3 linked regions of the Lonchura striata genome follow. The protein of the gene in region 1 interacts with the protein of each later gene in a pairwise test. Links are inferred from orthologs where the notes say so. Each region holds a gene or a part of one and is shown on either strand. Other genes may lie near its edges.

Region 1 (10,481 bases):
AGCCATCACTTCAAATAACACTTTGCCATTTCTCATTCACTGACTTGGGTAGGCATTGGGAAGAAACAGCATACAGCATATCCAACAGTATACTGATAATATAAAATATGCAAATTGTGTTTAAGAATGCATGGGAAGTGAGCTTTTGGAGGGATTCATCTTACACCAACTTCAAGATTAAAGTGACACCGGTTCTAGGAGGAAAAACTCTTCAGAAAGTTACACCAAAGCATCCTTAAAAGCTTCTATCAAAAGGCATAACTCAATTTTTCAAAATTGAGGTGCTGAATCTTCTCCCATCGGGCCAGTTAACATCAGATGAAAGGACTCTACTCTGTCTTGATCAGGAACTTCACCTCAACCTCTTGGACAAGGGAAACTTAGCCTAAATAACTATAAATTTGTCCTTGTCTGGCTAAATTTCTGTTTTTAATGACACACACGTGAAAAAAGAAAGCCTCCTCACAGGCTATACATAGAGATCATAATGCATGAACCAAGACATCAACAATTATAAGCATTACGGTTATGCTTCTTTTCCTCTGTTGGCTCTCAAACACCAAACACAACCCTAGTCTTAGCTTCTCACTCTCCCCCTTGTTCCCCATCCTGCTGTTCCTTTTCAATACGTATGAGCTTTTTTTCTTGACTCCCTGATCAACAGAATATTCATGGACATCTTCAACAAAATCTCTTGCTAACATTCTGTTTAGAGCACATTTCATGCTTAAGTTCTATGTAAACTGAAGAAAATACTCAAAAGCCTTCAGAAAGCAGTGGGGAAAAAATGTCTAGTCCAACCTTCTTAAAGCAAGATTAGCTATGTGGTCAAATCAAGCTGCTCTAGGCTTAATAGTGTGCTTATTTGGACTCTACTTATTTTCTCTGAGCAACTTGTCCTAACAGTTAACTCTTCTTCAATACTTATATGCAAGACTAACGAGCATATGAAGTTCACAAATTATAATTACCATTTCAAGAGACTGCACAAGTGATGTTTCTGGTCGCTGACGGGCAGGGGCAAAAACAGAGTCAACAGGTCTCGAAGGCCGTTGTGCAGCTGTCTGAGTGCTGCTGACAGTTTCAGAGGCTCCTGATCTGTGGATTTGGTTTGACTCATTCAGTCTGCTACTCCTCTCTCCAGCAATTAAGTCTCTGATTTTACGTAGTTGCTCAATTGAAGCTTCCTTAGGGAAAACCAGGTGAGTTTCTCCCTGAAATTTAGACAAATTAATTCAGCAGTTAATGCAGGTCGAAGCTGGTCAATGATCTGTAGCTGTAGCTGAGTTTACTGGAAGTTAGCATCCTAAGGCTTGGCAGGATTCAACCTTTTAGATTAGATCCCTTACAGTAAAAGCTTGAAGCCTCTCACAGCTTCAGAAGCCTACCAGATAAAGAAGCTAGAGTCAATCTAGAGAAAGAGGGCTCATAACAGCATGCTTTTGTTAGTAGCTTATTCTGTGGAGACATTTGTGGGCTATGTCATTATGGTTTGGCACAGAAAGCAGCAACAACAGAAATGAACAATTAATGCTCAGTTCTCACAGTACAGCAATGAAATCCTAGGCAACACAGGAAGACATCCAATGTTGAGGGAAGAAGTCCCAACAGCATCTGCTGGAAATTCTCTTACATAATGGTATCTTTTATGTTGAAGTTTTAAGTTTTCAGATAGGCAATATTATCCTTATTACAACTGGTACCTGGGTTGATTTCTGGGTTTTATTTTTGAACTGCAACATAATTACTGGTAGTATAACAAGAGATCAGTAATTATGACATAATCAAATCAAATATCTGTGTAATTACCATACAGGAACAGGTTACTAAAAACATGAATATCCTGAAACATTCATCCTTTAACAGTTTCAGTTTCTACCACTGCAGCACTTCTATTTATAAGGTGATTTGTTTACCTACAGTTACTTGAGGTCACATATCACAGCAGATGGAGGCTTTGTGTTAACACTTAAAATCACCACAAAACTCAAAAGAATGTATCAATCCATTATCAAGCAGAAACAAAAGAAGGAACAATATCAGCCATGCAGTTGAAGAGAAGTTTGTGAGCTCCACACCTTTGACTGACACAATAACCATAAGACCGAGGCAACACACTCTGAGAGACCTGCCCCCACCTACACTGCCCACCTCCTGGCTAAAATGCACAATTAAAAGCCTCCTGAGCACCAGCATGAGAATACATCCACAGACCATTTCTCTCTCCGTAGTCACCACTTCTTTCAGCATACTTTTTCTTCTAATTAAAACATTACAGTAATTAAATTTACCCAAAGAGAAGGCAGAGGTCTCATGACAGCTGGACCTAAGTAACATCATGTACAAACCCATACAGAAGTGTGGCATCAAAGAGACAAATTAAAGCAAAACAAGAACTTTGCACTGTTAAACAAGAGCTGGGTTTTCAGACCAGCTTTCCAGCTATTATAAAAACTGCTTCTAGTTTAACAATCTTTGGCAGTTTAAGTTCCACCAAGACAGGGACCACTTCAGAACACAAAGCAATCTTTGAAATGAATCCTTCTGACTGCAACAGAATCAAGATTCACTCAACATTATTTTAGGATAATGTTCCATAAGTTTTAAAAATGGGTTTTGAAGGACTCACCCTCCTACTACTACTTGAACAGTCAGTCTATTGCCCTTCACTGCTGCCATGACAACACCAGTACTTGTGCAGCTGCACTGTGAATTGGCTGAAAAACATTTCTGGTTTTGTTTTGAAAGATTAAGTTTTCATCAGATCAGCTTCCCTTACCTAAATCACTACAGGGATCTACTAATGGTAGGAATATGAAGAAGAGCAGGGCTTTTATTTTTTTTCTCTCTTTAAAATGGTAGTTTCAACACCCATTTATAATGTCTGATGTTCACCAAACAGCAGATTACTACAAAGAAAAGGATTTTCCACCTTGCTTCCCACTACGTCCTTTGTGCCAGCATGGATATGAACCCAGCCATTCAGTAAACCAGCAGTGCCTGAGCAGCTAAAAAAAAAATCTTGTTAAGCATTACGTTAGCTCATCATTTTTCTGAAGCAGCCACATCTAAGTTCTCTGCTGGCTAGCTACAGATATTGGCAGACAAGGACTGAAAGAAAATACCAACTGCCCTAAAATGTACTGCTGCCTTGCAACTAGAGAAGTAGAAAAAAAATTGCAATTTTAAATTTTACTATGTAAACTGGCAGACACCTTTAGTTACTACATTATACTCACCTCTTGAAATCCCATCTCAAATAAACATTCAACTGCTCCTCTGACGGGCAACAGCCTTGTGGAAAATGCTGGATTTCCAATCCGAATTAATCTGTATTTTTCCTCATAGGGATTCCTGAACAAATTGAAAGTTATAATTATATTTGCAAATGAAGTAGACACTTAAAAGCTGTGCAACTGCACTATGAAAGTTTTTTTTTTTTTTAATTTTAGATTCATTTATGTCACTTCAGCAAAACCAACATAAAACTTTGACTTTATAAATGTCTTTTTGTACTTAGCTTTGAGTTACCAACTAGTGTTAAAGTTTAGCTTGCAACTTATGTTCATGAATTCATGTTGTAGTTATACCCAGCAGGGCTAAGTGACACTTAGAGACAACTTCACATCTCCCTGTACCTGGTGCATTCTAATTGAACACGTCAGGTTAATACTGGATGGCTTTGGTCCCACTATAGAAGCTATGCTAATCTTCCTGGTACTTGAGTGAAACGACTGGGTCTCAGTAGCACAGAGAGGTGCTCTTTCAACTCTTTTAAAACTCTTTTCTTTCACCTCTTCCTTTAAATGAAGCCAGGCCCGGACTCGCCATTCTCTGTCACACAGCAGCTTTTACAAGAGGTAAAAGCTTGTAAAAGACAAGCCAGATATAGACAGGGAGGGGCAGCCCATACACCTCGAGTTGCTGGAAGATATCAAGGTCAATCACATGTACTAGCGTGTATGTGCATCCTACAGAGCCACCTCGCAGAAATCCAGCTGTAATTAACTCTTGGTACCAACCTTGCGAAGTCAGAAGCATAGGGCAAGCGAAAAATAGAATAAAAAATAAAATTAAGTTAAAATCAAGTTAAATTCCTTGCTGTGCACCACTTGTTTTTAGGTAGTTCAACACCCACCTAAGGTGGATGATCAGGAACAAGGCAGCATGTTGTGAACAAACTCTTAAACTTACAAAACAAACCAACCAGCAATAAAGAAACAGAAATACAGAACACTACACCTCTAGGTAAGCAGCATTAAATTAAAAATAACGACAAAACCACGCGAGACGCTTCTGAACTCCGGTATTACACAACAGAACCGAAGGCGCCGCGCGGAGCCGGGAGCGGCCGGGGGGACCCTGCGGCACCGCCCGCGGACCGAGGGCGGCGGCCCCGCTCACCGGAGGATGTTGTCGGCGTAAGTGAGGAGCAGCCGCGAGGCCTCCAGGAAGATCTCCCGCCTGTTCTGGCACAGCTCGCTCACGGCGGCGGAGCCCGGCGAGGACTCGAGCCCCAGCGCGGCCGCCATCGCTGCCCGCCCCCGGCGCTGCGCCCCGCGCATGCGCCGCGCGAGTACCGAGGTCACCGCCCTCAGCCGGGCAGCGCCGCCTGCCGCTGGGCGCATGCGCAGTGGGAGCTGGGGCGTCACCGGGCGCGGCCCCGCGGCTCCGGGCGGCGCATTGCGGGGAGGCCGTGAAGGGTTCAGTGCTGGTCTGGGCGGCACCTCCCGGCCACACCGGGACCTGTGTCCCGAAGCAGCTTCCTCCACACGGTGTGCAAGGCGCCGATCCACGCGCAGGGGCGAGGTTTTTGATTTATTTCTAGATCTGCGCAGAAAGGGCTGCGCAAAGACGGCACGATAGCTACCGAAATTTATCACTATTTATACATTTTAGCAAATAAAGGCATTCACGTCCACTGGATACAAGTTACACAGTTCTCTTATTAATAAACATGCTATCTTCTGTTGGTCAAATGATTCCCCTCTTACGCTGATTAGTCCACATGCTCATTTTTTTTCTCTCAATGGTTGCAAGCTTGCCCTGCCAGAATTACCTTCTGTCCAGCCAGAGCTGATCCCAGCACTGCTGCTGAGTTGGCTTTGCTGGTTTCTTCCTTGTCTTGGGAGTTCTGCCTAATCTCCTTGTGTCCAATAAATTCTTCATTCTTTGTGCCCACTGACAGTAGTACATCCTTCTTCCTAAACTTTGTAAACCTCCACCTCTTTGATGTGTGATTTCACTGAAACATGTGAAGCCCTAAAAATGCAATTCTGACAACAAGCAATTTGTCTTTCTAACACCTGGACATAACTTAGAACTTGATTAAATCTTCTTTCTGGTCGATTTGGCTTGAAAGTATACAAATATCAAACAACATAATTTCTTAAGAAAATGTTTACCTGTTCCATGTTTTTGGAACATCAGGAGCCCCTTGGTAGGCAGTAACATCACTGAGGACATAAATCTCCTTTTGTACTCCCTGGTTTGATAGTACTGAGGGTGCCACACCTACAGGCTTACAGGGTTGCCTGAGCAGGAATGTCACTGCAGCGACTTGCCCCGGCTACAACATCTGCCTTGCACTACCCAAAGTCCATCCCACAGAGGCAAAAACCCCTGGTCTTCTTCTTCTAGACGTCCAATTTGTGCCGCTACTGAAAGAACTGTGGCGAAGAACCTTGCTTTATTAAGAATGCAGATTTAAAGAGTTCCAAGCAAGAGAAGTCTTTACAATCCAAGCTGCTTTCTGATTTTGTAGGTGATACTACAGTATGGCTCTGCTGCCTGCCTCTGACAGGTCACTGCTCAGCTTCTATGACTGTTTAAGATAGTGGTATGTGTATCCCTCACAAAAGCTGAAAGTTAACACAGGGCAGTTCACTTTTGCTGAGATTACATTTATTATTCCCACTAGCATAGTTAAAATGTTACTATTTCATCCCTCAGGATCATTGAACTGGTACCAAAGTAACAAAATTTTAGTTTAAAATTATGCCATGTTCCTTGGCTTCTACTTCAGCTTTTAATTTCCTTTCCATGTGTTACTTGTAGACATGTGACTCTCAATGTTGGCTGCCTTCAGAAATACAAAGATTAACTATATTGCGATACATGTATGCATATAAATACATAATGCATCTCAGTATAGCATTTGTAAACAATGCTTTGGGAGTGCTCATAGGCAAGCAGTGTGAAAAATTTAGAAAACCAAGTGCCAACTTCCAAAAAATTGCTAACATATTAAATGCCAAAGGAATTTTATTTCCAAATTAAAAACAGACTCTTTATTTAAAAGAAAGTACACACAAATTCCTTTTTTCTTTATTAAATATTGGGGGGCTTTCTCCTTTTTGGCTTTATTCCTCTTCTTTTTCCTGCAGTGCATGCCTCATTACTGGGCTACAGTTTGTATTTTTAGGTAGCTGTATTTGCAGCTAATAAACATTATTGTGTTGTGCGGGGGTAAATTTATTTCAGTTTTTGCACTGCTGCTTACTAAAATTAAATAAAGTATTACCAAACAAGTAAACTCACACTGTAACTAATTCATGTCTTTGTTGATGAGACTTGGACAAACATTTTATGATCTGCCATGGTAGCCTGTCTGGGATAAGGTCTTAGACAAACCGGAGTGTTTGTTTAAAGGCTTTTGGGCTGTTTTTGGTTTTTGGTTTGGTTTGGTTCTTTTTGTTGTTTTGGTTTGGTTTTTGGGCTTTTTGTGTTTTGTTTTTTTTGTAATTTTTTTTACTCCTCCTTTGCAAACACGTGGCTTGAGAAGGAAATTACTTCACCGCCTTTTCTCGGTGTCGGGGCCGTTCGGACGATCACGCCGCCCGCCCACACCGGCGCCCGCGGGCGGGGCCAGGCGGGAGGAGCCACCGCGGGCCGCGCCTACCCGCGCACCTCCTCCCTTCCCCCCGCGCCTGCGGAGTGGTGCGGCCTCCCGCCGTCGGAACGTGAGAGGGAGGTAGAACGAACCATCGCGGAGCGGGGGGAGCGCGGCCGGCGGGGCGCCGCTGGGGGCTGGGGCGGGGGGAGGCGGGCTTCAGCACGGGCCGGGGGGACGCCGCTCCCAGCGGGGTGGGGCGGGCCCGGCCGGCAATGGCGGCGCCGGGTTTTCTTGTGGTGCCGGGGTTTAACTCCTGGTTTACACGTTAAAAACGTCTGGGGTGTTTGGTAGCACTTGTTCCCCGGGGATATTATCCTGCGCCTGGTTTTCCCGCACAGCAGGTATCGGGCGTTGTTGGGTCGGACAGGACGGCTCGGCGCCGGCTGGCGGCATTTCAGTAAAGGCTGCGGGACGCGCTGCCTTACAGAGCTCTGCAGTCATATTTTATATATGTATATATATATATGTATGTATGTATATATATGTATATGTATGTATAAATATGTATATATGTATGTATATATATACACTGATAAAATACGCTATCATACATTATATATATGTATAGTAATGTGTATAAAATACATTATCGTACACATTGTATATGCTATACAATATACATCGTATAGTGTATCTATAAACCATATATATGTTATACACTATGCTCCATAAATATGCATTTAATATGACTGCAGAGGTGTTTTATATTCTGTCTTAGATATAGAATATATAATATTCTTTATATATTTATATATGTGATTTGCATTATATAATACATACTATGATATTTTTATACACGTATACACACACACTACCTCTTTTATAGAGGGTAAGTGACTTGGAAATTTTGGGCCAGGATTTAAAAGTGACTCCTTTAAAAATATTTTCTTAATAATTAAGTTTAATAATTGCATAAAATATGTATAAATATAATATATAAGATATGTATAAAAGGCACTGTATAAAATATAATGTATAAAATATAATATATGGTTGTTTACTGTTTTTATTCCCTACCCCAAGTGTTCTTGGCCAGGCTGGATGCAGGTCTCCACTGCCTGGTCTAGTGAAAGGTGTCTGTGCCCGTGTTAGGGATTGTTGGAATGAGATGATCTTTAAGGTGCCTTCCAACCCAGGCTTTTCTATGGTTCCATGACATTTTTTAGTAATGCTGCTGTGCACAGGTCTGGATATTTTAGCATGAGTACCCAGCAGCTCCTTATGGTCTTCATACAGCTCTCTCCATTTCACCAAAGAGCTGGGGATGCCAAGTTACTCTTTGGACAAAACAAAAAGCAGGCAAGCTATTGAAGCCTGCCTTGTAGGTGTTGGCAGAGCTGTACTGCAGCCTCTGCCCTGCTCCAGCATGTCAGATGTGTGCAATCAGGCTGGCTCTGGACTGGCAGTAGCCAAGGCAAGGAAAAGGGACTACAGCACAGTACAGCAGCATTACTGCTTGGCATAGTCCTCTGGTCTTTCCTCAAGTACTTGTTCTCAGCAGAGGCCTTCTGCCATCACTTGCTGTGCCTCTTGTTGCCTCTTGTTGGGGTTGCCTTCAATGGAGGTGGTGCTGTGCTCCACATCTTGCTCAAGCTACTTGAGATACTGTCCCCTGACAGTGTAATAACTTGAGGCTGATATAGGTGGAGGTGGAAAGACAGGGAGTCTTGTCCTAGGTGTGTAATTACATTAGTAGCAGAACCAGAACAAGTTTATTGACTCCTGTTTGAGGTTTCTAGACCGTTCTGCCTGACATGAAGGTTCAGATGACAATATCCTCAACTTGTTAATTGTGGGCCATACTTTTTCCCTTAGAAGAATGAATCTGTTAATGCTCATTGTTTCTGCCTCCAGCCAGCTGTGGTTAAAGCTCCTGGGGAAATTTTGCAGTAAAACCAGAGAGTGCTTCACAGTCCACAGTGGTGCAAAGTCATATTCATCAGCAGCTTAAGCTAAATGAGCTCACTAGAGGCATTCCTAAAGTGAACATTTCTTTGCCATTATCTGTTGTAATTCATACACAGACACAGAAACTATATCCCTTTCTTCAGTCATTCTTTCAGGGTGTCATGTAAAAAGCAGGTTATTCATTTAATGTTCTTGGAATGTTTTCCATACAGTCTGCTTTACTGTTGTGTTTGTCTTTCCCAACCCCCTCCACCCCTCTCCGTTTACAGGAATGTGCCTGATTATTGCCACCATGTTCTCACAGTGCTCACAGGATCTGTTAAAGATTGCAAATCTTCATCTTCGGAGTCTGAATTTAAATCTACATTTACAAAACCACAGAAGGGCTTTCAGCAAGTCACTGCCTTCATGTCGAAGGAAAGTAGTTGTTACAGGTATTGGCTTAGTGTCCCCTCTTGGTGTGGGGACTCAGTTTGTGTGGAAGCACCTTCTGGAAGGAGGCAGTGGGATTACATCACTAGATGGGGAAGAATATGCAGGCATCCCATGTAGAGTGGCTGCGTGTGTGCCAAGGGGAAACAAGGAGGGTGAGTTCAGTGAAGAAAACTTTGTGTCAAAGTCAGAGATCAAGTCCATGAGTTCTGCCACTGTGATGGCCATCGGTGCCGCAGAGCTTGCAATGAAGGACTCTGGCTGGTCTCCCCAGTCTGAAGAGGACCGCTTGACTGCTGGTGTGGCAATTGGGATGGGAATGGTTCCACTGGAAGAAATCTCTGACACAGCTGCCTTATTTAAAACAAAGGGTTACAATAAGGTCAGCCCATTTTTTGTTCCAAAGATTTTAGTCAATATGGCAGCAGGCCATATCAGCATTAAATACCAACTGAAAGGGCCAAATCATGCTGTGTCGACTGCTTGTACCACAGGTGCACATGCAGTTGGAGACTCCTTTAGATTCATTGCTGCTGGTGATGCTGATGTCATGTTGGCTGGAGGGACTGAGGCTTGCATTAGTCCTTTGTCTTTGGCTGGATTTGCAAGAGCCCGGGCCCTCAGCACGAGTTTTAACTCGAGCCCCAAAACAGCGTGTCGACCCTTTGATTCGCAGAGGGAGGGGTTTGTAATGGGAGAGGGTGCTGCTGTGCTGGTCTTGGAAGAGTATGGACATGCCCTACAAAGAAGTGCTAGGATCTATGCAGAAGTTTTGGGTTATGGACTGTCCGGTGATGCTTGCCACATTACAGCACCTAATCCCGAGGGAGATGGTGCATTCAGGTAAGAACTCTATGTTGAGTAAGAACTCTATGTTGATTATAATCACTACTTCATATGTTCATTGTAGTGGGTGCGTTTGTTTCTGTCATTGTATATTTTTTCATAGAAAAGGGATGTTCAGTCTTGAATTAATATTCCAAAAGCTTGAAAATCTGAAAAATTAAAAGAGTTTCTAGTAATATTCTGCCTCGATTCTCTTTTTTCAGTAGGAGGGTGAAGGCCAGTTCTTGGTAGAATCAACCTTTTTCCATAGAGTTATGAAAGCTTTCTCAGTGTGAAAACAATTTTCCTTTGGTGCATACAGCTGTTCATATAAATAAGTCTCAACCTCTTTTTAAGATCTTTGTGATGAGATAGAGTGAAGGAGAACCTGTAAAGATTCTTTTTCCATCAAGACAGACAC
Region 2 (10,108 bases), on another chromosome or scaffold:
AATAGAGTTCAACAGCAGCAAATGAACTGCTCAGAGAGAATTTTAGGTCTACTTTTAAAGTAGGTTTTTCTCTATTTTTGAGCATTAAACTGAATGAAGGTTTCTCCTGCTGGCAGAATGACTGCTCCATGTGAATCATGTATCAAAACAAACACTTTCAGAGCCTAATAGCAAATTAATTATTCTTATCACAGGTTTACTCATATTAATCATATCCTGCTATCTCCCAACTGCCTATATCAGAACTCTAAACAATTATTTCATACTATACTTTTTAATAGCAGGTCTATCATGACAAAATACTTCTGATAGTACAACCTGCTAAACTTTCTTACATTTTCATCCTTCCATATTTTTTTCTTACACAAACAATTGTAGCTCAGAATAGAAGCAGAAAAGCAAACGTAATTTGCCTTTCACACAGTTTATACATCCCTGACACAGATGTAGAAAACAACTAATTACATTAATTTTCTTGCAAGACCAAAAGTGGAAGTGCCTCACACCCACCAGTTCCTGAGTTACAGACCTAAAAGTTACAAAGCTCAGCTTAATGGAAATTGTTAACAATCACAGAGAGGCTCTTGTCATTCACAGGGGTTTATGCTGAAGTCAAAAATACAGAAAAATATTGGTATTACTCAACAAATGATACTTTATCTACAAACATACATACACAAAGAAATCAACTGGGAGAACATAATTGCTCTTTTGCAGACTGATGCAAACTCCCTTTTCTGAAGCTGTTTCACCCCTTGATCGTTTCTCCAGCAGTTCACCAATAAATTTTGGTGCTATCACCCACCAAACTCCACAATAAACATTGGTACCACCACACCACACTCCCCAAGAAGCTGCCAGAAACAACAACTGTTCAAGCTGCAGAAAAGCAGGACAGGAGGTCTGGCATCTTTCAGAAAAGCACAGGAAACTTTCCTCCATCACTCCAACGCTGATGATTCAGTATTTTGAAAACACAAATCACTCCGAGGAACCTGACAAAGCTGATGTGGCCAAACTGGGAGGTGCGGATTCCCCTCCTGGTTTTCACCACTTTCCTGAGGCCTGAACCCCTCAACTACATCACACCTTGTGGGATTTGTCATCTCTGTCACTCTACTGGCAACAAATTCCAGTAGTTTCATCAATAAATGTGAACTCCCAGGTGTGGATCATTATCAACACGCTTCACTTAGGAGCTGCTACACAACTGAGTTCAGAACAAGCCTGAATGAGGATTCTTTTGCTTTATGAAAATCACTCCAGCCTTACAGGCATTACAACAGGATCACTTCAATTCTGAGTCTCTTAACAGTCTCTCACATACACAAATCCTGGATTTTACACTTTTCCCACCAAACTGTGGGGCACAAACCTTCCGGAAGAACACAACTAGAGATTTCTGGGAGAGGAACAAACTCACGTCTGTGCATTTCCCGGTAGAGAATGGTCAGTGCTTGCAAGGAATTATCATCTGTGGGTTCAAGTGCTGCTACTTCTTGTGCCAGGGCATAGGCTTCATCCTGCTTGCCAGTCCTCTGCAAGCCAATGGCCTTCAGCACCTGTGGACACAACACAGGCAGCTCTCAGAGACACAGTCTGCATTTGGAAACCCTCTCGCTCCTGCTGGGAACAGCCCAAGCACCTCATTCCCTCTGCACAACTCCAGGATTTATTAATCTTTTAATCCATATGGCTGGACAGGAAAACTCCCAAATGCAACAGCATCAAAGAGGGGATCTGACTTCTTAATAAATGCTGAGGTTGCCCCGAGGTATCATCACATAATTTCTCTACCTGGAAGCTGTAAACTGACCTGTCCTGGCAATTTTCCTTAGTTTTCTTTCACTAACTGGCCAGAGAGAAGTGACATAAACGAGAATCAGGTCAATGACACTCTCTGCAGCTTGGGAAGCTTTCAAAATGTAGAAGTGGAGTGAACTGCAGCAGGAAACCCCCAGGGAAATGAGAAAAGCAGAAAGAGTCACACGTTCAGAAAAGGGAGGAACAGAATCCCTTTCCCTCAACAGGGTCACAGCGAGGAAGGTGGACAAGGAAAACAGCAAATGCCTCCAAAATCATGGAATCCTGGAGTGCTCTGGGTTGGAAGGGACCTTAAAATCATCCAGCTCCATTTTTCATGGACCAAGTCTCCCCAAATTGGCCTTGAACAATTCCAGGGATGGGGCATCCACAGCTTCTCTGGGACACCTGTAATGTCTTCCTCAGACATTTCCTCCCAAGGAGATGTTTTGATCCAAACTCCCGCAGATGGCTATCCCAACCCCAGAACTCCAAGAAGCATTTTTAAATCCCAGCCCATGTGCCAAGGTCACCTGGAGTGGTGCTGACAATCAGCCCAGGTGGAACCAACACTCCAGTCCCTATCAGGTCATTTCCAGGCAAACAAGATGAGCTGGAACAGAGACATTCCAGAGGGCTCAGAAATCACTGTGGAAGCTCCCGGAGAAAGGGACAGTGGAACACCCCGAGACTCAGGCAGAACGAGCTCAGTGTCCCCCAGTCCCACTCACCTTGGCACAGTGAAGGTCCTTGTGCTTTTTGAGCAGTTTATCTGCTTGCTGGATTGCCATTTTATTATTGCCATTATCGAGATAATCTGCAGAGGAAGAGCACACACAAAATCACACCAGAACACCAAGGCCATTCTGGAAAGCCACCTCCAATTTTACCATGGAGCATCAGCTGTCACACCAGCAGCAAAAACCACATTTTCCCTGTGCAGCTTCTCCTAAGCCAAACATTCAGGAAACTGTCATTTCAGGGATGAAGGATTCATCTCATTGTACTGGTTTTAGTCACTCAAACAAACAAGCTTTTGTAATTACTCCACACAGATCATTACAGCAACAAAAGAGACACATAATAGAGAGGATTCTGCAGCAACAGCTCTTTGCTGGCAGTGCAGCTCCAGTGCTTTAGCAGGAAAAGTAGAAATTAATTTGGTGTGTCTTTGGGAGACTTTCAGTGACTTTTAACAGGCAGGAAGTTAGAAACCAAATACATACACACCAGCAAAGTGGGAAACACTTGTCTACAGCATCCATACCTCACAGGCAGAGCAAACCTGTCCCCCTGGAGTACCACTACCCTTCCACCAGGCTGGTTTTGAAGGCACAATTGTGAAGCATTAGTATTTCCTAGGGAGACATCCCACTATCTCCAGACCATTTTCTCCTCTTTTAGCTCAGAATCACAACTTTCAGATTGATCTTCACATCATTACACAATTACAAACAAGCAGTTTTAGACCAGGACACAACCCCTATATGCTCCCCTTCCCTCAAAAATCTCTCTTTCCTCAGCTAACCCAACTTTGCTGCCCCTCATGTGCCAAGGGAAGGAAGGGGCTGCTCACACTGCTCTGAGCTCTCTCCTGCCAGTTACCTGAAATTACATCACACACCTTTACCTCGCCAAACCTGTCATTCCCATTATGAGCCAGAACTTTTTTACTGAGGGTAATCCTCAGCACGAATTGTGCATCTATTCTGATTCACAGATTTCTGTTAAACAGCTCCCACATTTGCTCCTGTGGCCAGGTGGATGTTGCATATTTAAAGCAGAGTTAATTGGGCTCTTGAGCCCATCCACAGCAAACCTCTCACTAGTCAGCCTTTCCACACTCACCAAAATAAACACTGTGGCATGAAATCCAGTTTGAAGCCACAAATTTCAACTTAGGAAACCTCTGTGGAACCTCTAACATTAAAACTTTGGGGATTTCTCAGTGAAGAGGTTTCAAAGGTGTGGAACAGCACATCAGAGGCTTCTTGCTTTAAGGCTCTGTCACCCAGCTTAGTGACACACAAATTATCCCTCATGCTGAGCTGCCTGACTGGGATTAACAGCTGTGCCAAGAACATCTCAGCTTTGGGTGTTCCAAAGTAAATCAAATAACCCTCAAACCTCCCAAAAACACAGCAGAATGAAGAGACTGTATTTTCCTAACGAGTCAGGTTTCTGGAAGTCAAAGCAGCTTCCAAAGGAAATGAAGCTAAATGAAAATAAATTTCAGCCAGCGCTAGTTCATAGGTGGGGATGTTCAAAGGCTGGAAATGCACCACCTGAACCTTCAGGTGAAGGGAGAAATGTCAAGATCAAAGAGAACCAGAGCTGTCGAGGAATCCCGGGGAACCACTGCACAAACCCAGGCACACCTTGAAATCCAGAGGCAGACCTTGGGCCTCACAGTGCACCTCCCCAGCTGCTGAGGAGGGGAAGTTGTGTGCGTTTATCACACGCTTTATTTTGGTTTCTGCAGCACCACAGCCTGAGAGCAAATCTTGCACTGCAGAGAATCCTTCCCAGAACGAGCAGAAAGGAATTCTAAAGCTCTCTCCAAAATGAACGCAGCGAGATGCTCAACATCACCTGCTTTGGTATCAGCTGAATTTACTCAGCTTTTTATATTAGAACCATTTCTTACACAGGTTACGACAAGAACAACTGTACGTCAATGAAACTGCCAATCACAACACGGATGGAAAACTAAGGGGGGAAAAAACCTTAAAATCGTTACATAAAGACAAACGAACTTGAACACCTCTAATCGAACAAACCCATCTTGCTCCCTTCCCCTGGAACCCACCACGGACTCAGCCTGTACTGCACCATCCCTCTGCCCCAGCAAAGGACATCCCAAAGCACGTCCAGCCCCAAACCAGGGCAGCTCTCCACGGTTTCCATCCCTGCTGAAAAAGTTAAGAACGCTTTCCTCAATCTCTATCAAATCTTCAGTTCTAGGGACGAAACGATACCGTAGCCCGGGGAAGCGTTTTCCTTTTATTTCTCCATATTTGCATAGAGCCAAGCTTTGCCTACAACCTCCGAAGCAACCCCAACAGCGCAGAACACCCTCGGAAACATTCGGGGGGGACACAACAACGCCGGACAACTCCCAACGACACCGTCCCCTTCTACTTCTCTCCCGCCTCCCAATTAACTCCCCCAACAGCGTCACCGCTCCGTGCCACAACATCCAACCAACACAACTCCGGGGCACCCGCGGCTGCTCCCCCGGGGGTTCACCCATGCCGGCTGCCCCGCGGCAGCGCACACAGCTCCGGCCGGGGTCACCTGGGCTGCGCTCCCCCCAGGCCGAGGGGCACCCCGGGGCGCCGCGGGACCCCGGCCCGGCCGGGCGGGCGCAGCCCCGCGGGGCCGGAGCGCGGCAGGGCGGCAGGGGGGCTCGGGGGGCGGCGGCGGGGCGCGGGGTCCGTACCGTAGATGGGCCGCAGCCGGCGGTCGTTGGGGTCCTGCACATGGCCCCGCGCCGCCATGATGAGAGCGCAGAACGCAGCGCGCAGCCGCGGCCGGGGGCGGGCAACGGCGGGCGGGGCGGGGCGGGCACCGGCACCGGCACCGGCACCGACACCGGCACCGGCACCGGCACCGACACCGGCTCCGACACCGGCTCCGACACCGACACCGACACCGACACCGACACCGGCACCGGCACCGGCACCGACACCGACACCGGCTCCGACACCGGCACCGGCGCCGGCACCGGCACCGGCACCGACACCGGCTCCGGCACCGACACCGACACCGGCACCGGCACCGGCACCGGCACCGGCACCGGCTCCGACACCGGCACCGACACCGGCACCGGCAACGGCACCGGCACCGACACCGGCACCGGCACCGGCACCGACCTGATCTCACCCGACCCGACCGACTCGGAGATCGCCACCCGCTCCCTCAGCAGGCCGGCACACCCGCGCCTGGCGCCCCCCGAGCGGTCCCCGCAGGGCCGCGCTGTCGCTCTCGCCGGTGCCGCCCCCGGTCGGAGGCGGCGGCGGGTGGCCCGGTGCCCGGGGCTGTGAGGGGAGCGGGCACCGCACGGAGCCATGGCCATCGCGGCCGTGCCCGCCGCCGAGTCCCGCCTCTGTGGCAACTGGTGAGCGCGGGGTCGGTGAGGGACAGCCCGGGGTCGGTGAGGGACAGCCCGGGGTCGCTGAGGGACAGCCCGGGGTCGGTGAGGGACAGCCCGGGGTCGGTGAGGGCCGGGATCGGTGAGGGCCGGGCCGGGGTCGCTGAGGGGCAGCCCGGGGTCGGTGAGGGGCAGCCCGGGGTCGGTGAGGGACAGCCCGGGGTCGCTGAGGGCCAGGGTCGGTGAGGGGCAGCCCGGGGTCGGTGAGGGACAGCCCGGGGTCGGTGAGGGCCGGGCCGGGGTCGGTGAGGGACAGCCCGGGTCGGTGAGGGACAGCCCGGGGTCGGTGAGGGACAGCCCGGGGTCGCTGAGGGCCAGGGTCGGTGAGGGGCAGCCCGGGGTCGGTGAGGGACAGCCCGGGGTCGGTGAGGGCCGGGCCGGGGTCGGTGAGGGACAGCCCGGGTCGGTGAGGGACAGCCCGGGGTCGGTGAGGGCCGGGCCGGGGTCGGTGAGGGACAGCCCGGGTCGGTGAGGGACAGCCCGGGGTCGGTGAGGGCCGGGCCGGGGTCGGTGAGGGACAGCCCGGGGTCGGTGAGGGCCGGGCCGGGGTCGCTGAGGGTCGCACTCGCTGAGGGCCGAGCCGACCCCGCCGGCACATCGGGGTGCAGCTCCTTGGAAGGCGGAGAAACACCGGAGACGACCGTAGGGCCTTTCCCGTAAGCGCCAGGGCGTCGCGTTTCCCTTCTGATTTAGTAGGGAACTGAAATAGAAACCGAAACATTCGGATGGAAATCCAGGCTCGCTTTTCAGTGGGGCCCGCGCAAAATACACGATTCCAAGTTTTTTCTTCAGCGGTTCCGCGGCTCAGGAGGAGAAACGCGAAAATAGGATCAGTAGGCAGTGTTGTCAGTGTTGTTGTGGAAGTTTTTTTCTTTGATTACTCCTTTCTGCAGAGCCCAGTGGCTGGTAAGGAGTCACTTCACAAGTTGTGTGTTGAATTCAAGCAGATAAAGAAATAAACTTTTTTTGTAGTTGTTTCTCCCCAAGAGACATGAGAATCCAGACATTTTCTTGCAACATAAGCCTGGTTTGTTTGGTCAGTCGCTGCTGTTGGACTTCGTTGCTTTGCCAGGCTTTTGGCTGCCTGGCATCTGGCAGGGGACAGAAAAGCTGTGGTTTTAGCAAACAAAAGGTTATAAAATTAATTTAGGTGTTTTCAAGGTGGATTTCTTGGAAAGGGCATGATCCGTGTAGAAATTATGCTGTGTGTTTGAGGCGGGAGTAAGGACTGAGCTCCAGGTGCCTCAGTTCCTTTTGGTCTTTTTGTGTTTGGGTTCAAGACAGAAAACGAGCATATTAAAAATGTGGCGAATTGGGGAATTTTGGAGCAAAATGAGGCGAGTTGGGGAGTTTTGGGGTGCAGAGGAGTGTTGTTACTGCTGGGGCTCTGAGCAGCCTGGTCTGTGGAGGTGTCCCTGTGAGCTTTAAGGTCCCTTCCCACCCAAACCATTCCATGGTTCCATTATCTTGGAACAGGATCTGTCAGGCATAAAAAAGGCACTGTTTGCTTTCCAAAGCACTGTTTGACCTCTCAGAGCCAAGTTACTTTCAGGAAGAAACTTTTATCTTCTCAGACTAATTTATTAACTTGATCCCTGGTGATTACTTGTTTGTGCTGCAAGATTTCCCTTTCACATAAGGAAATAAATCCACCTGGATTTTATCTGAATGCAATGTGACTTTTGCATGTTAAATACATTAATAGCCACCTGTGCTGGAAACCTGAGGCCTGGCTGGGCCTTTTTCTAATCACTTTTAGCCGTGAATTCATTGAAATCTTTCTTAGCATTATCTTTTTGTTGTGAACAACTTTTTGTATTTGTTGTCAGTTTGTTTCTGCTCAGTAACCTCTAGCAATTTTCTCACAGCAAAAAGGATATTCCTGCAGTCAATTTCATCATCCATGAAATCCACTGTAGAAGAAATATTGAAATATGCCCCTACTGCAGCGACTCCATCCCAAAGTCTGAGATGAAGAACCACATTGATTCTGAACATGTGCAGGTGAGAGACATCTCTGCTCTGAAGCTGCCATTTCTGTGGAAATTCCCCTAATGAGGTCTCTTTGCTGTAGGTCACCTGCAAATGTAGGATGAAGATGGAAAGCAGCCTCCTAAAGGACCACGAGGTTGGTGGATTTTATATTCTTGAACCCTTGGGGGATGCTCTGGTGTTTCACTGATTCCAGAGCCTTTGGATGCCAGCATCCAGGTTTGTACATCCTTTTGTTGAGTGATGCTTCCTGAACTCACACCCTCTGGGAGAAGGGATTGGAAACTGCCCTAAAGTCCTGGAGCCTCTCAGGGCTTCATATCAGAGGGGTATCTGTGGTAATTGGTGAGTTTTTTGTCCTTGTCAGTTGAAAAATAGCTATTTAAAGTATGATTGACTTGACTTTTTTTCATTCCTTTACTGTTTCATGTTTCTCCTGAAGCCATTATGTGACTTCTAATAACTCAATCTGTCCAAACAGGCTTTAAAAATAGCCCGTAAAATAAACTAAAATAGGCCAGAGTGGGATTTTCTGAGTTCTGAATCCAGTTGGCTGCTGTCACAGACAATCTTGTTATAAATGTTATCCCTTCCTGTGGGCTCCTTTAGAGACAACTCTGGAGCTGCCACCTCAGCCTGCTGATTGCTGAGGAAAAAAGGATTTTCTGTGGAAATCTGTCCAGTTCTAAACCCTGGGAGTAGCTAATCCTGCATGTGGTTCTTCTGGATTATAAAGCAAATGATGATGTTTTATTAGTGCAGGTTGGTCATTAGTGCAGCATCTGCAAATATAATGTATTTAATTTAGTTTTAACCCCTTTTGAAGGGGGTTCAGTGTGGGGTGAAAAACATGTCCAAGCAGTTCTTGCTGAGCAGCAAATGAGGTGTGAGTTGGTTCCCTAAAAACGAGTGTGGATTTTAGCTGTGCTCATGGAATGCAACTGGATCTTGGGTCGTATCTAAAACCCAAGTCCAGAAATCACATCCTGAGTGTCTGAAGAGCTTCAGCTGCCCAGTTTGTGCCTCCAGCACATCACTGTTGCATTCCCACATCGTAGCTTGCTCCAGGTTCCTCCTTTGGAAGTGGCTGAGGAAATTCCCTGGGAAGAGTAACCCCGTGTGTTTTCCCAGGCGTCCTCGTGCCCCCTGCGCCCCGTGCTGTGCCAGTTCTGTGACATCCAGCTGGCCTTCAAGAAGCTGCAGGAGCACGAGCTGTACTGCGGGGCCCGGACCGAGCCCTGCGGGCGCTGCGGCCGCAACGTCCTGCGCCGGGAGCTGCCGGAGCACCCGCGGCTCTGCGGCGGCACCGCGCCGGCCCCCGCCGGGGAGCGCGGAGCCGGGAGCGGCCGGCACGGAGCAGGTACAGCAGGGGCTTGGGAAGAGCCAGAGCGGGAAAAGGAGATTTAGAGCGGCTGTGGGACACAGCTCCAGGGACAGAACCCCTAAGGACAGAATGTTAAGGGACCAGAACCACTAAAGAGAGAATGTTAAGGGACAGAACCACTAAGGACAGAATCTTAAAGGATAGAATCCCTAAAGACAGAACCTTAAGGGACAGAACCCCTAAAGGGACACAATTCCAGGGACACAACTCCTAAAAACAGAATATTAAGGGACAGAACCACTAAGGACAGAATTAAGGAACCAGAACCCTTAAAAACAGAATTTTAAGTGACCAGAACCTTTAAGGATAGACAGAATCTTAGGGGACAGAACCACTAAAGACAGAATCTTAAGGGACAGAACCCTGTAAGGGACACAACTGCAGGGACACAACTCCTAAAGACAGAACCTTAAGAGACAGAAGCCTTAAGAACAGACAGAATCTTAAGGGACAGAACCACTAAGGACAGAATCTTAACCAGAACCCTTAAAAACAGACTCTTAAGGGACCAGAACCCTTAAGTGGACAAAGGAAGGAAGAACTGGCTGCTTTTTGTAGCTGGTCTATGTGTGAGGTTTTGTGGTTCCTTTCTGTGAAAATACAGGATAGTGAATGCTCCAGAGGCTCCAGGTGGAAATGTTTACCCATGGAATGAGGTGCCTGGGATAAAAGCCCAGTTGCTTCTTTTTTTTTTTTTTTTTTTGTCTCAAAGTACCTGGCTTAAAAATTAAACTGGAGTTGTTTGCTCCCTGTAATTTGGGCTAAAATTTGGGTTT
Region 3 (9,966 bases), about 80 Mb from region 1:
AAATTTAACAAATCCATGCACTACAATTACCACTAGCAAATTAAAGAACAAATTAGTATTTCCTGGAGTTAAATTCCTTGTCATGTGTTACTTGAACTTTAACTATTGTTTCCTAAAATTTCACCTTAACTTATGGTAAAGTTCTGCTCTGACAGACAGGAGGAAAAAACAAAAATCAAGGACAACTGATGCTCTCCCCAGCAGCACAACCATAAGACACTTGTATAAAGAGGACTTTCTGGGAAATATGCTTTTCTTTGAATAAGTTACAGGGTAAATTATCCCATTTCAGATAAGAAGTTAAAGTGGTAGGGACGTTATTCTATGCAGAGAGTATTTCTCTAGGAATTCTTTTTCAAGTGCCTGCCATACAATTCAACATTTCAGGCATGTCTCTTTATGTTTGCAGTACTACAAAAGTATTCATGCAGGTGAGAACTATATTGAAGATAAAGAAACCATCTCAACTTGACCTATAGTTCACCAGTAGCATTTTGTCAAAACTTCTGAGAATTTCCATGACTGCCATGTAATGTATTTTTGGCCTACTTGCCTGAACCAGCAGGGGAACAGAATGTGGTATATTGTCTTTTTGTTCTCTGTGTATATAGAACTTAGACCTGTGTGGCACTGGTACTCAGCTACAGCTCGCAGCCTTCACAGCAGTAAGATGTCAATATTTAAAATTAGAAAGTGATGTGTAATGGTATCAGCCGTAAGGAAATGTTGGCTTTAAAGCTGAGCCCGCGGATCCTGCTTACTTGTTGTATCAGCACCACCTGCTGGTACCTCACATATTTTCCATTGTAATGCTGGCAGGAAGTTTTTTCTCTTAACATTTAATTTAAGCTCCAAAAATATTTGAGGAGGCGTCAGAAAGAAAGATTGTTGTTTCCTAATCTCTTTGGAGACCCCACCGAACAATTTATACTCACGTTATTTCATCTAAGGAGTACAAAGAAAGAGGTTTATCCAAATATCTTAAATCCTAAATTGGGCAAACCCTGCTCTGAAACCAATAGAAAGGATCCAGGGAGTTGACTCCTGGTTCACATATTTTTTTCACATGTTATCTAGCTCATCATATTTTGGAACTGAAACAAAATTAGATTCATCAGTACAGTGAATGATTCTGAACAGATTTGTACACACACTATGATTCACCTGTTGAGACATTTCTAAAGGAGGATTCATCTCACCTAACACAGTCACATCCAGGAATATGTTTCCAATTCAGCTGAGTGCATCTTTTATTTTTAGCTGACAGAATATATCACTATTTTTATGTTATTTTGAACTCAGATCATACTTCCTTTTTGCTAGATAGTCATATCTACAAAATAGATGCCCAAGTGAAGTGGAGATATCTTATTCATGCATTGGAAAAGAGAAACATAAGGATAATGAAGTCTGTTCATTTTTCTGGGAAGCAGTCAGCCATACATTCAGCTCTGGACAAGACTCAGCAGATGATGTCCATAATCCAAGTGAAGGGTCAAAATAGGTGTCTAAGTGACATGGCAGGGGAGAGGGGCCATTGCAGTGCAAGGGTACTGGGGACACAAAAATGCTAGTGGCACTTACAGGAGAGGCTGGAGGTTCTAAAATGGCCTTAGGGAGGACACAAAGGAAGAAGCTGATATTTTAGCTTGGAATTGGGGAGACATATAATGGGAGGGATATAAAGGGAGAAATAGAAATACAGAATGCAGGATACAGATTTGTAGGTATTTGGCTTCCTCCTGTTCAATATGTCTATTTTTCCAGCTTCTCCCACAGCAGAAGCAGTGGAAGATCTTTTGCAGACCCACCACCTGTAGGCTTGCTCTCACATCGATGTAAATATATCCTCACTGCTTTTCCTCATCAAGATGCTTTCCTACTGCAGTCTCATATATCTGGTTTGCAGCAGTTGCTGCACTACAGACCAATTGTCAAACCTCTGAAAGCTTAATCTTTGTACTATGCCTCTGCACCCATTAATTCCCCTGAGTGAGGCAAGGGCGTGGCTACTGGAGCATCAAAATGAATTAAACATACATTAGCACTGGCAGAATTAATTAAAATATCCTGATTTTCAGAGCATCTGCTGGAAAAGTGGAAAGGTTTGATCTCAAAATAGCCTTAAAAATGCAATAAAATATTTACCTCATTTTTTATTTCATATGTATTGTATACAGAAGGTTTGTCTGATATCCTCAAAGCCCGCTGTTGCCTTCTGTGTGTTCTTGAACCCTTTGCTCACAGAGTGTGAACTGCAAGGTTGTCAGGGATCTTAATGACTTGTACTTTCTTTCCAAAGGTATTGAAGTGATCAGTCTCATTTGTTCACTGTAACTGGAAGTAGTTCTGCCTTGTATGCTATACCTGAAGCTATAGTTTTGGAGTAGGTTTTTGGTTTGATTGATGGGGGTTTTTTGTTTTGTTTTGTTTTGTTTTCTTGGTTTTTTTCTTGTTTCTGTCCTCTCTTAATCTTTCATTTTATTCTACTGTTTAGGCTTTGATAGAAAACTGCCATGTGCAATTCTTATCAAGTAAAAGCCAAATACTTGTCATTTATAGATCCCATAACTGAATGATACATTATTAAATCTTCATCATCCTAGATAAATATGTGTTTCATATTTATCATCCTAGATAAATATGTTTCATCACAGACAGGAAATGCTGTCTGTGATGAAACATTTGGAGACAACCAAAGTGAGCAGGGAAATGAAGACACTGTTGCTCTTTTGCAGTTATTGTAATACAAAGTTTGTAACAAAACCCAATACAAATTGCAGAGGTAGGTCAAAGTAATTCTAGGCTGAAATGATGATGAAATAGCAGATCTCCACAGCAACAAAAAGCCTATTTTAACACACTGAGTTTAAGAACTGTAATGTTTTAGAAATTAGAAATGCGTGTAGATTTTTAACAGACTATGTTCTATTTATTTTGGTGTTTGGTGGTGATTTTATTTTTTTAATACAAATATGAATCTCTCTGCCCCTAAGAAATTTCCTTTAATTTATCTTACAATGTTATCAGTTGCAAAACAGCTGGTACATTGTGACCATAGGCCATGACAACCCATTGTGTTCACCCCAAGCCTTTTCTTGTTCCTAAATTATTTTCTGTGGGAAATTTCCCTCTAACACAGTTTACTTCACAACCACAAAGCACAGATGTCCTCTTCCTTATTGCATTCTTCCCTTTCCAACACAAGCTTCATGGAACTGAAGCTCATGGAGAAGCAATATCATCAGGGAATTCCCTGTTTCTCACTAGTCACAAAACCAGTTTTAAAGAGCTATGCATTTTTGGAAAATACAAGCAAATTAATTTAAATACATATGCTATGTCAGCACTTACTCATTTGCTTCTTGGGTAAGAGAGATACATGTTCTGTAATCTAGAATATATAATAGGGGCTTCTGAAGTTCATTTAAAAGTTTTTGTCTTACTTATCTGCATTCTCTGCACTGTAGCATGGAAATTTTTTTTCACTCTATGTATATACTTTTTATGTATTATTTTATTTTTACTTGTGTTTTTATGTTTGTTTCTGGATAGCACCAACACTGTAGTGAAATTTTGGGAAAAACAACATTACCAAAAAGAAGATTGTAAATGCTGCTAGTTTTAGTCTCTAGGAGGAAAATATCTAGAATGTTGAAGTGTATTTTAGACATAAATAAAAATACAGTATCAAATTTAATTAAAGAACTAGAGGTTGTAATTAGCTGTTTTAAATCTATAGCTGTGTCAGAAAACATTGGTCACAAGAATGATGTTATGCAAATTAAAATGGATGCTTGGGTTGCACATATTTAAATTTCTAGATATCTGTGACAATATAAATTTCACTGAGAAAATAATTATGTGCTGATCTGTATTCAGGTGATCTCTTGAAATGTTGTTGACACCTTAAGCAGACGAGGCAATCACAAAGACAGACAGGAATTATGCCAATGTTTAGGGAAGATATGCCTGTCAAAATATGGAACACCAAATTATAAAAAACTGATTTTGTAATAAAGTTATTTGGCTTTTACAGTGATTACAGTTTAGACATCCTCACTGCTAATTTGGTCTCCATCACCACAGGACATTTGGACTTAGACAGAAGCTGCACACCACATATCAACCCAAGGAAGGCTGAATGAAATAATATGACTAAAGCTTTGTGCTTGGTATAGTCCTCATGCCAATGCTTCAAGTACAGAAACCAGCTGAGGGAAGTTCCTACTTCTATTCAGGTTCCATTTTTTCCTAAATCAAGCATAGAGTTCTTTGCAAGCATATGCCCTCAGCATATAAAGTTGCGAATGTGGGAGCTACATGAAATGTATTATATATGCAATGTTATATAAATATGTATACATAGAATATATCTCCTCAGTGATGTCATTCTTCTTTGTCAAGCACACAATATAGTTCTGTAGGAAAAAAAAACCCAATCATTCATATCTACATACTCCATAAGAACAATATTGTCACCAGTGTAGAGACCAGTGTCACCACTGTCACCATTGACCCTTGAGATGGAGCTGGGTACCAGATAATATTTTTTCCTGCACTGTTTTTATGCTGGGACAGACTGCTCTGTCTGCATTCTCACTGAGAGTTTGGCTGACTATGAAGGCATGAAGCACACAGTTTAACAGTCCAGCTTAAAGAGTTCTATGAGATTCCAGCTCCCTTTGGCACAATTACCAGTGTTTCTGGACTGTAATCCAGTGTCAAGAGGGTCTGGAGAGATTGATTAGAAAGCAGAGGGTGTTTGAGCTGAGCAGCCCTAGAGAAAACTGAGGATGGCAAGAGTTCCTCATCCTGTCTAGGCTGGAGTTGATTTTCCATAAGTGCTATGTTTTGGATTTGTGACTGAAAGCCAGTGTTGGTAACACAATGGTGCCTTGACTATTGTTGAGCAGGGCTCGCACAGCACCAAGGCCTTTTCTGCTTCTCACCCTGCCCCACCAGTGAGCAGGCTGGAGGAACACAAGGAGCCTGGAAGGCACACAGACAAATCATCTGAACCTGGACACCCCATAACATATGGCATCATGCTAAGTTTTAAGGAAAAGACAAGACACTCCCAAGATTAAAGGTCTGTCTGGACAAGAGCCACCAGGAGTGAAGTCAGCAGAAGTAACCGGGGGAAAGAGAAGGATCCTGAGGAGAGCAACAAAGCTGGTGAAGGGTCTGGAGCACAAGTCCTGTGAGGAGTAGCTGAGGGAGCTGGGGTTGTTTAGACTGAAGGAAAGGACTCAGGGGTGACCTTATGACTCTCTACAACTCTCTGAAAGGAGGTTGTAGCCAGGTGGGAGTTGGCCACTTCCCCCCAGCAACAGGATGAGATAATGTAGTCTTAAACTGAGGCAGGGGAGCTTTAAGTTGGACGTTAGGAAGAATTTCTTCACAGAAAGGGGGTTAAAACATTGGAATGGGCTGCCCAGGGAGGTGGCGAAGGGTTGGATGTGACACTCAGTGCCATAGTCTAGTTGACATGGTAGTGTTTGGTCACAGGTTGGACTGGATGATTTCAGAGGTCTGTTCCAGCCTATTTGATTCTGTGATAGGCAATTCCGGCAGTGGGCGACCGCAACCACCAACTCAAAATGGAGGGAACTGCACCTGCAGACTAAGTAGCATAAGAAGGAAGACATACAACCAGTAAGCAGGGCTTTGACTACTGATAGACAAGCTGTGCAATTCGCCGCGAATGAACGCTAAGGGCTTTGTCTGCTGAGGCCCATAAACTTTACTCCGCAAAGGTCTGACGTTCGGGCCGTGCCCCCGCGGCGGGCAGGCACGGCCCCTCCCGTTGCCATGGCGGCCGCGCCGGCGGCGCTGGCCCCGCCCCGCCCGGCGCTCGCCACCGCCTCCACAAGATGGCGGACGGCGGCGCAGCGCCCGCGCAGCCGGACGGGGATGTGCCCGCGGCTCCGGCCGCCGGCCGCAGGGACCGGCAGCCCCGGAGCACCGGCCGCCCGCCCAGCGCCCGGGATTTGCAGGTGAGGGGGCGGGCGTGCCGCCCCACTCCCGGGCGGGGCGGGGTCGGGCGGAGCGCCGCGTCCCCCCGGGGCCGCCGCAGGGCTCCCCCCGGGCCGGCCCTGAGGGCAGGGCGGTGCGCGGCTGCCCCGACTGCCCCTGAGCCCACCCGGCTTTTCTTCCTTCAGCTCCCACGCCCCTTGCAGGCTGGGAAGGGGAGCACGCCTCTGGAAGAGCACTAGGCCCTTTAGGATTGGAAAACAGGTGAAACTTAGTAACTGAAACTGTCTCTGTTCCATTTAATTACACATTATGGAAAGAGGAAGATGGGTGTAGTTTTTTTTTTCATTATTACTATTTGGAATTTTCATAGGTTCTTCTTAAGATTAATTTTGCTGCAATCATAGGATGGTTTGAGTTGGAAAGGATCTTAAAGATCATATAGTTTTAGCCCCTATGCCATAGGCATGGACACCTTTCACTAAACCATGTTGCTCAGAGCTCCATCCAACCTGACCTTCGACACTCCCAGGGATAGGGCATCCTCAGCTTCTCTGGGAAATCTTTTCTGATGCCTCACTACCCTCTGAATAAAGAATTTCTTCCTAATATCTAATCTAAATCTCTCCTCTTGTAGTTTAGAACAATTCTGCCTTGTCCTATCACTATCTACCCATATAAAAAAGTTGTTCTTCCTCTTTTTTCTAAGCCCCCTTTAAGTACAGAGAGGCCGCAGTGAGATCTCTCTGGAGTTTTCTCCAGTGTTACTGTTGTGTTATTCTCCGGGATTGCTTTTTTTTATTGTTACAACAGGTAACAGTAACAAAATCTGTGTTAATAATTCTGGTTCATAAGGTTTTGGCTAGATACTTATTGATAAAGTGTTAAACCCCAAGGAAGTACCCTCCTGGGTCTGTAGTTGATTAGCGGTGCCACATGAGACGGGATTTGAGGAAAGCACAGAAACCTGGCCATGCCCTTCCATGCTCTCTCAGCATCCCTCGATCCTTGGATTAGGGATGGTACAGGGTATGTTGTCTATGATTTACCCATCAGCTTTACATATCTGAAAGGTATTTTCTTCTATCCTCAGATGGAATAGAGGCCTTCAGCAGATTTTTTGGGGTCTCTTTCCTCAATTTAATTTTCTTAATGGATATAATTCCTCATATTTATTTTTTCCTGTAGAAAATACCTCATAATATTATAAAAACAACAAAAAATAATACGGGATTACTACCCTGTGTTCATAGCAGTTTGTTTTCAAAGGCAGATGATGTTTCATTTTATTTTAACCTGTATCCCCTCTACATAAAACTGTAATGAAACTGTAGCCTAGTACCTTTCTGGTGTGTATGATAAAATGTTAATGTCAGTCACATAGTGTGAGCAGAGTGATCTGGGGACAAAACTCAGGATGGTTTGACAAAATAGAGTCCTATTCAGTACAAAAGAAAGATTGCTGAAATTACACTGTAGGATTCTTGCATAAATTTCTAAGAATGAGCTTGCCAGTGATATGGCAGCATTTTGGGAATCTTTGTGAAAAAGTTTGTTGGGGTTTGTGTAAGTATTTGTGGAGTGATGCCTTGAATTCAAGCCAGAAAGGCTGAATTTGTTCTTCATTCCAGTACAAGCTTATTTGAATTATGTTTTTTATATTTCTGTGTAAGATGTTTGTAAAATTTATTGTTTGCTTCTATCAGAGGGTTAGATTGCTGCTTTATTTCAATTTGTTACCATTAATTAATGAGCTGATGCTTAATATCTCTGTGTGTATTTACTCTTGTGACTCTAAATCTAATACAGGTTTTACATAGCTGGTGAAGTAGTGGAAACTAACGGATAGCAGAGTTCAAGTTCCAAGTCATAGTGGCCTTTAAGCATTGTGTAGTTTTTCTTTTTTTTTTTTTTTTTCATAAAGCACAAGGGAACTTGAATTTTAGTTGGGGTTCCTCATGTTGATATTTCTACTTTCCTGGACAGATGGATATTTCACATTAATTTTTGTCTTTATTCTATTCCATATGTAGTTCTTGAGTTATAGGCTTACAAAAATGAGTTCTGTTTCCTACAGCTGGCCTTGGCAGAGTTATATGAAGATGAGGCTAAAAGACAGTCATTGTGTTCTGACAAGCCAACAGCTACAAAGATCAGTAACCCAAAGGTATCACAGAGGTAAGATGTGGGGTTTTTTTCAGAAATGCGTGTTAAAGGAGGTCAAGCAATAGAAAAGATCTTACTGACCAGTTATGCTTTGAGTTCACTGCAAATGCAGAAATCTATTCAGGAAGAGAGACTTTAGCAGAGTGTGGGACAGTTGGAAGTATAGGGTGTTTTGAGGTTTTTTTTGTAACTTTCAGTGAACCCACCTAAGCTGACTAACCACCTATACAGAACTAAGTTTACAAACAAATAAAGCAAACGGCTCCATTTACCAGTACATTTCATGAAGGTATAACTTCCTGCTCCCAACCAAAGGAGAAGCTTCAATACCATATATCAAATACTTCAGTGTGATAGTTGGCAAATACTTGTTATTTGTTGGCATTCATACTGGAATCTGCATGAGAAGGAAGAGATGAATTAGTAGACTTCAGTTAGCTCTCAGATGAGAGCAATGCATTAATTGCATGGAAGCAGTGCTGCTCTTCTATGCTAGAAGAAAATAGTTCAGTTGGACTATACCTATAGTGACCACCCAGTCCAACTGTTAATGCAAAATGACTCTGCCATACATGTGCCTTTTCCTCCTTGTTCACGGAGAAGCATTAATGGCTGTGAACTTTGACAAAAAAAACCCAAACTAAAACAAACCCAAAAAACCAAGCAACCAAAACAAAACCCCAAAAACCAGAAAACACAACTCGATATTCTTAGTTTTTGAAAAAGAAGTAATTTCAGAAGTTAGATATGAAGTTTATATGCCAGTTATCTTCAAATGCTTTCTTTTATTCTCTTGGCAGTCTTAAACTGGATTCTCTTAAAAGGTTGAGAAAACCAGAGAGAAGCATGAGTGATGACAAAGAAAACCAAAGGTATTTCTAAAACAAAACAAAAAATAATTTAACAATTGTGAAAGTAATTGGGGTTTGCATCACTTTCACACTTTGCTCCCTCATGTTCTTTCAAAATGCGTGTGAGCTAGGTCTGTCCTGCAAAGAGCTAGGGACTTATTAGAATGTTAGCTGTACACTGTTGTAAAATTATATTTAGCAGAATCTGGCTGGAGTTATGTAGGACCTGTAAATGCCTTAACCTGTATGGTCATAAAGGTTGTAACTTACACTTGTACTCAAAAACTTTTTTGTCTTTCTGAGTATCCCGAATTGTTCTTTGTATCTATTGCTCAAATACTTGAGTGCTTCCTTTCTTTCTTGAATACAAATTCTGGTAAGAATTCCTGTTTCATATCCTTACCACTATCATTCTTTTAAATCTAATAATTAAAGATTTTCCATATAAATTGTAGTTGGGGCAATAAACACAAGAGATGTACAAATGACATGTTACTCAGGGATTGACAATTATGTGGCATTATAAAAACAGTATGATTGTACAGTACTCTCATACCCAGTACTCTCTTCTGGTAATTGTAAAATATGATGAAATCAAGACATTGTAAAGACATTGGTCTAAGAAACAGTTTCACATGGATTAATTGGTTTGCCTTGCCCCAAGTGGTTAAGTGTAAAAGTTGAGGAAAGTGGAAAGCAGTTATTAGTTATTAACATTTCTTGTAATCAAAGAAAAAACAATCAGGTTTGCCAGATTTTGATTTATTTACATATTTTTACAGCATCTATTCCAATGTATTTAGAGATTGTTGTGCCTTTCTCAAGATAATTCTCGAGGAACATCTTGATCTTAATCATCAAACAGATACAATTTTGAACAGAATTATTTTTAGTGTAGCATTTTGTCTTCAAGAGCTAATAATGGTGCTATGAAGGAAAAAAAAAAATTAGAAATTGTTATTTTCATAACAGT

What was found.
Region 2: the proteins of NGLY1 (region 1) and TRAFD1 interact in binary tests that used the Homo sapiens proteins (3 or more experiments, as listed by UniProt). The two-hybrid records come from large-scale screens. The link is inferred for Lonchura striata from reciprocal best matches to the Homo sapiens genes NGLY1 and TRAFD1.
Region 3: the proteins of NGLY1 (region 1) and UBXN2B interact in binary tests that used the Homo sapiens proteins (3 or more experiments, as listed by UniProt). The two-hybrid records come from large-scale screens. The link is inferred for Lonchura striata from reciprocal best matches to the Homo sapiens genes NGLY1 and UBXN2B.

The regions. Positions count from the first base shown.
Region 1 is NC_134603.1:118,029,617-118,040,097, reverse strand, and holds the start of NGLY1 (peptide-N(4)-(N-acetyl-beta-glucosaminyl)asparagine amidase), read right to left. Parts: upstream 4,566-10,481; coding exon 4,405-4,565; intron 3,355-4,404; coding exon 3,240-3,354; intron 1,215-3,239; coding exon 972-1,214; intron 1-971. Other genes in the region: OXSM (3-oxoacyl-[acyl-carrier-protein] synthase, mitochondrial), read left to right, coding at 9,075-10,078. UniProt on the Homo sapiens protein: Specifically deglycosylates the denatured form of N-linked glycoproteins in the cytoplasm and assists their proteasome-mediated degradation. Cleaves the beta-aspartyl-glucosamine (GlcNAc) of the glycan and the amide side chain of Asn, converting Asn to Asp.
Region 2 is NC_134620.1:11,681,904-11,692,011, reverse strand, and holds the start of TRAFD1 (TRAF-type zinc finger domain-containing protein 1), read left to right. Parts: upstream 1-5,343; 5' UTR 5,344-5,873; coding exon 5,874-5,923; intron 5,924-7,824; coding exon 7,825-7,960; intron 7,961-8,030; coding exon 8,031-8,084; intron 8,085-9,079; coding exon 9,080-9,308; intron 9,309-10,108. Other genes in the region: NAA25 (N-alpha-acetyltransferase 25, NatB auxiliary subunit), read right to left, coding at 1,424-1,562, 2,535-2,620, 5,246-5,303. UniProt on the Homo sapiens protein: Negative feedback regulator that controls excessive innate immune responses. Regulates both Toll-like receptor 4 (TLR4) and DDX58/RIG1-like helicases (RLH) pathways.
Region 3 is NC_134603.1:38,210,560-38,220,525, reverse strand, and holds the start of UBXN2B (UBX domain-containing protein 2B), read left to right. Parts: upstream 1-5,876; coding exon 5,877-5,999; intron 6,000-8,053; coding exon 8,054-8,154; intron 8,155-8,942; coding exon 8,943-9,014; intron 9,015-9,966. UniProt on the Homo sapiens protein: Adapter protein required for Golgi and endoplasmic reticulum biogenesis. Involved in Golgi and endoplasmic reticulum maintenance during interphase and in their reassembly at the end of mitosis.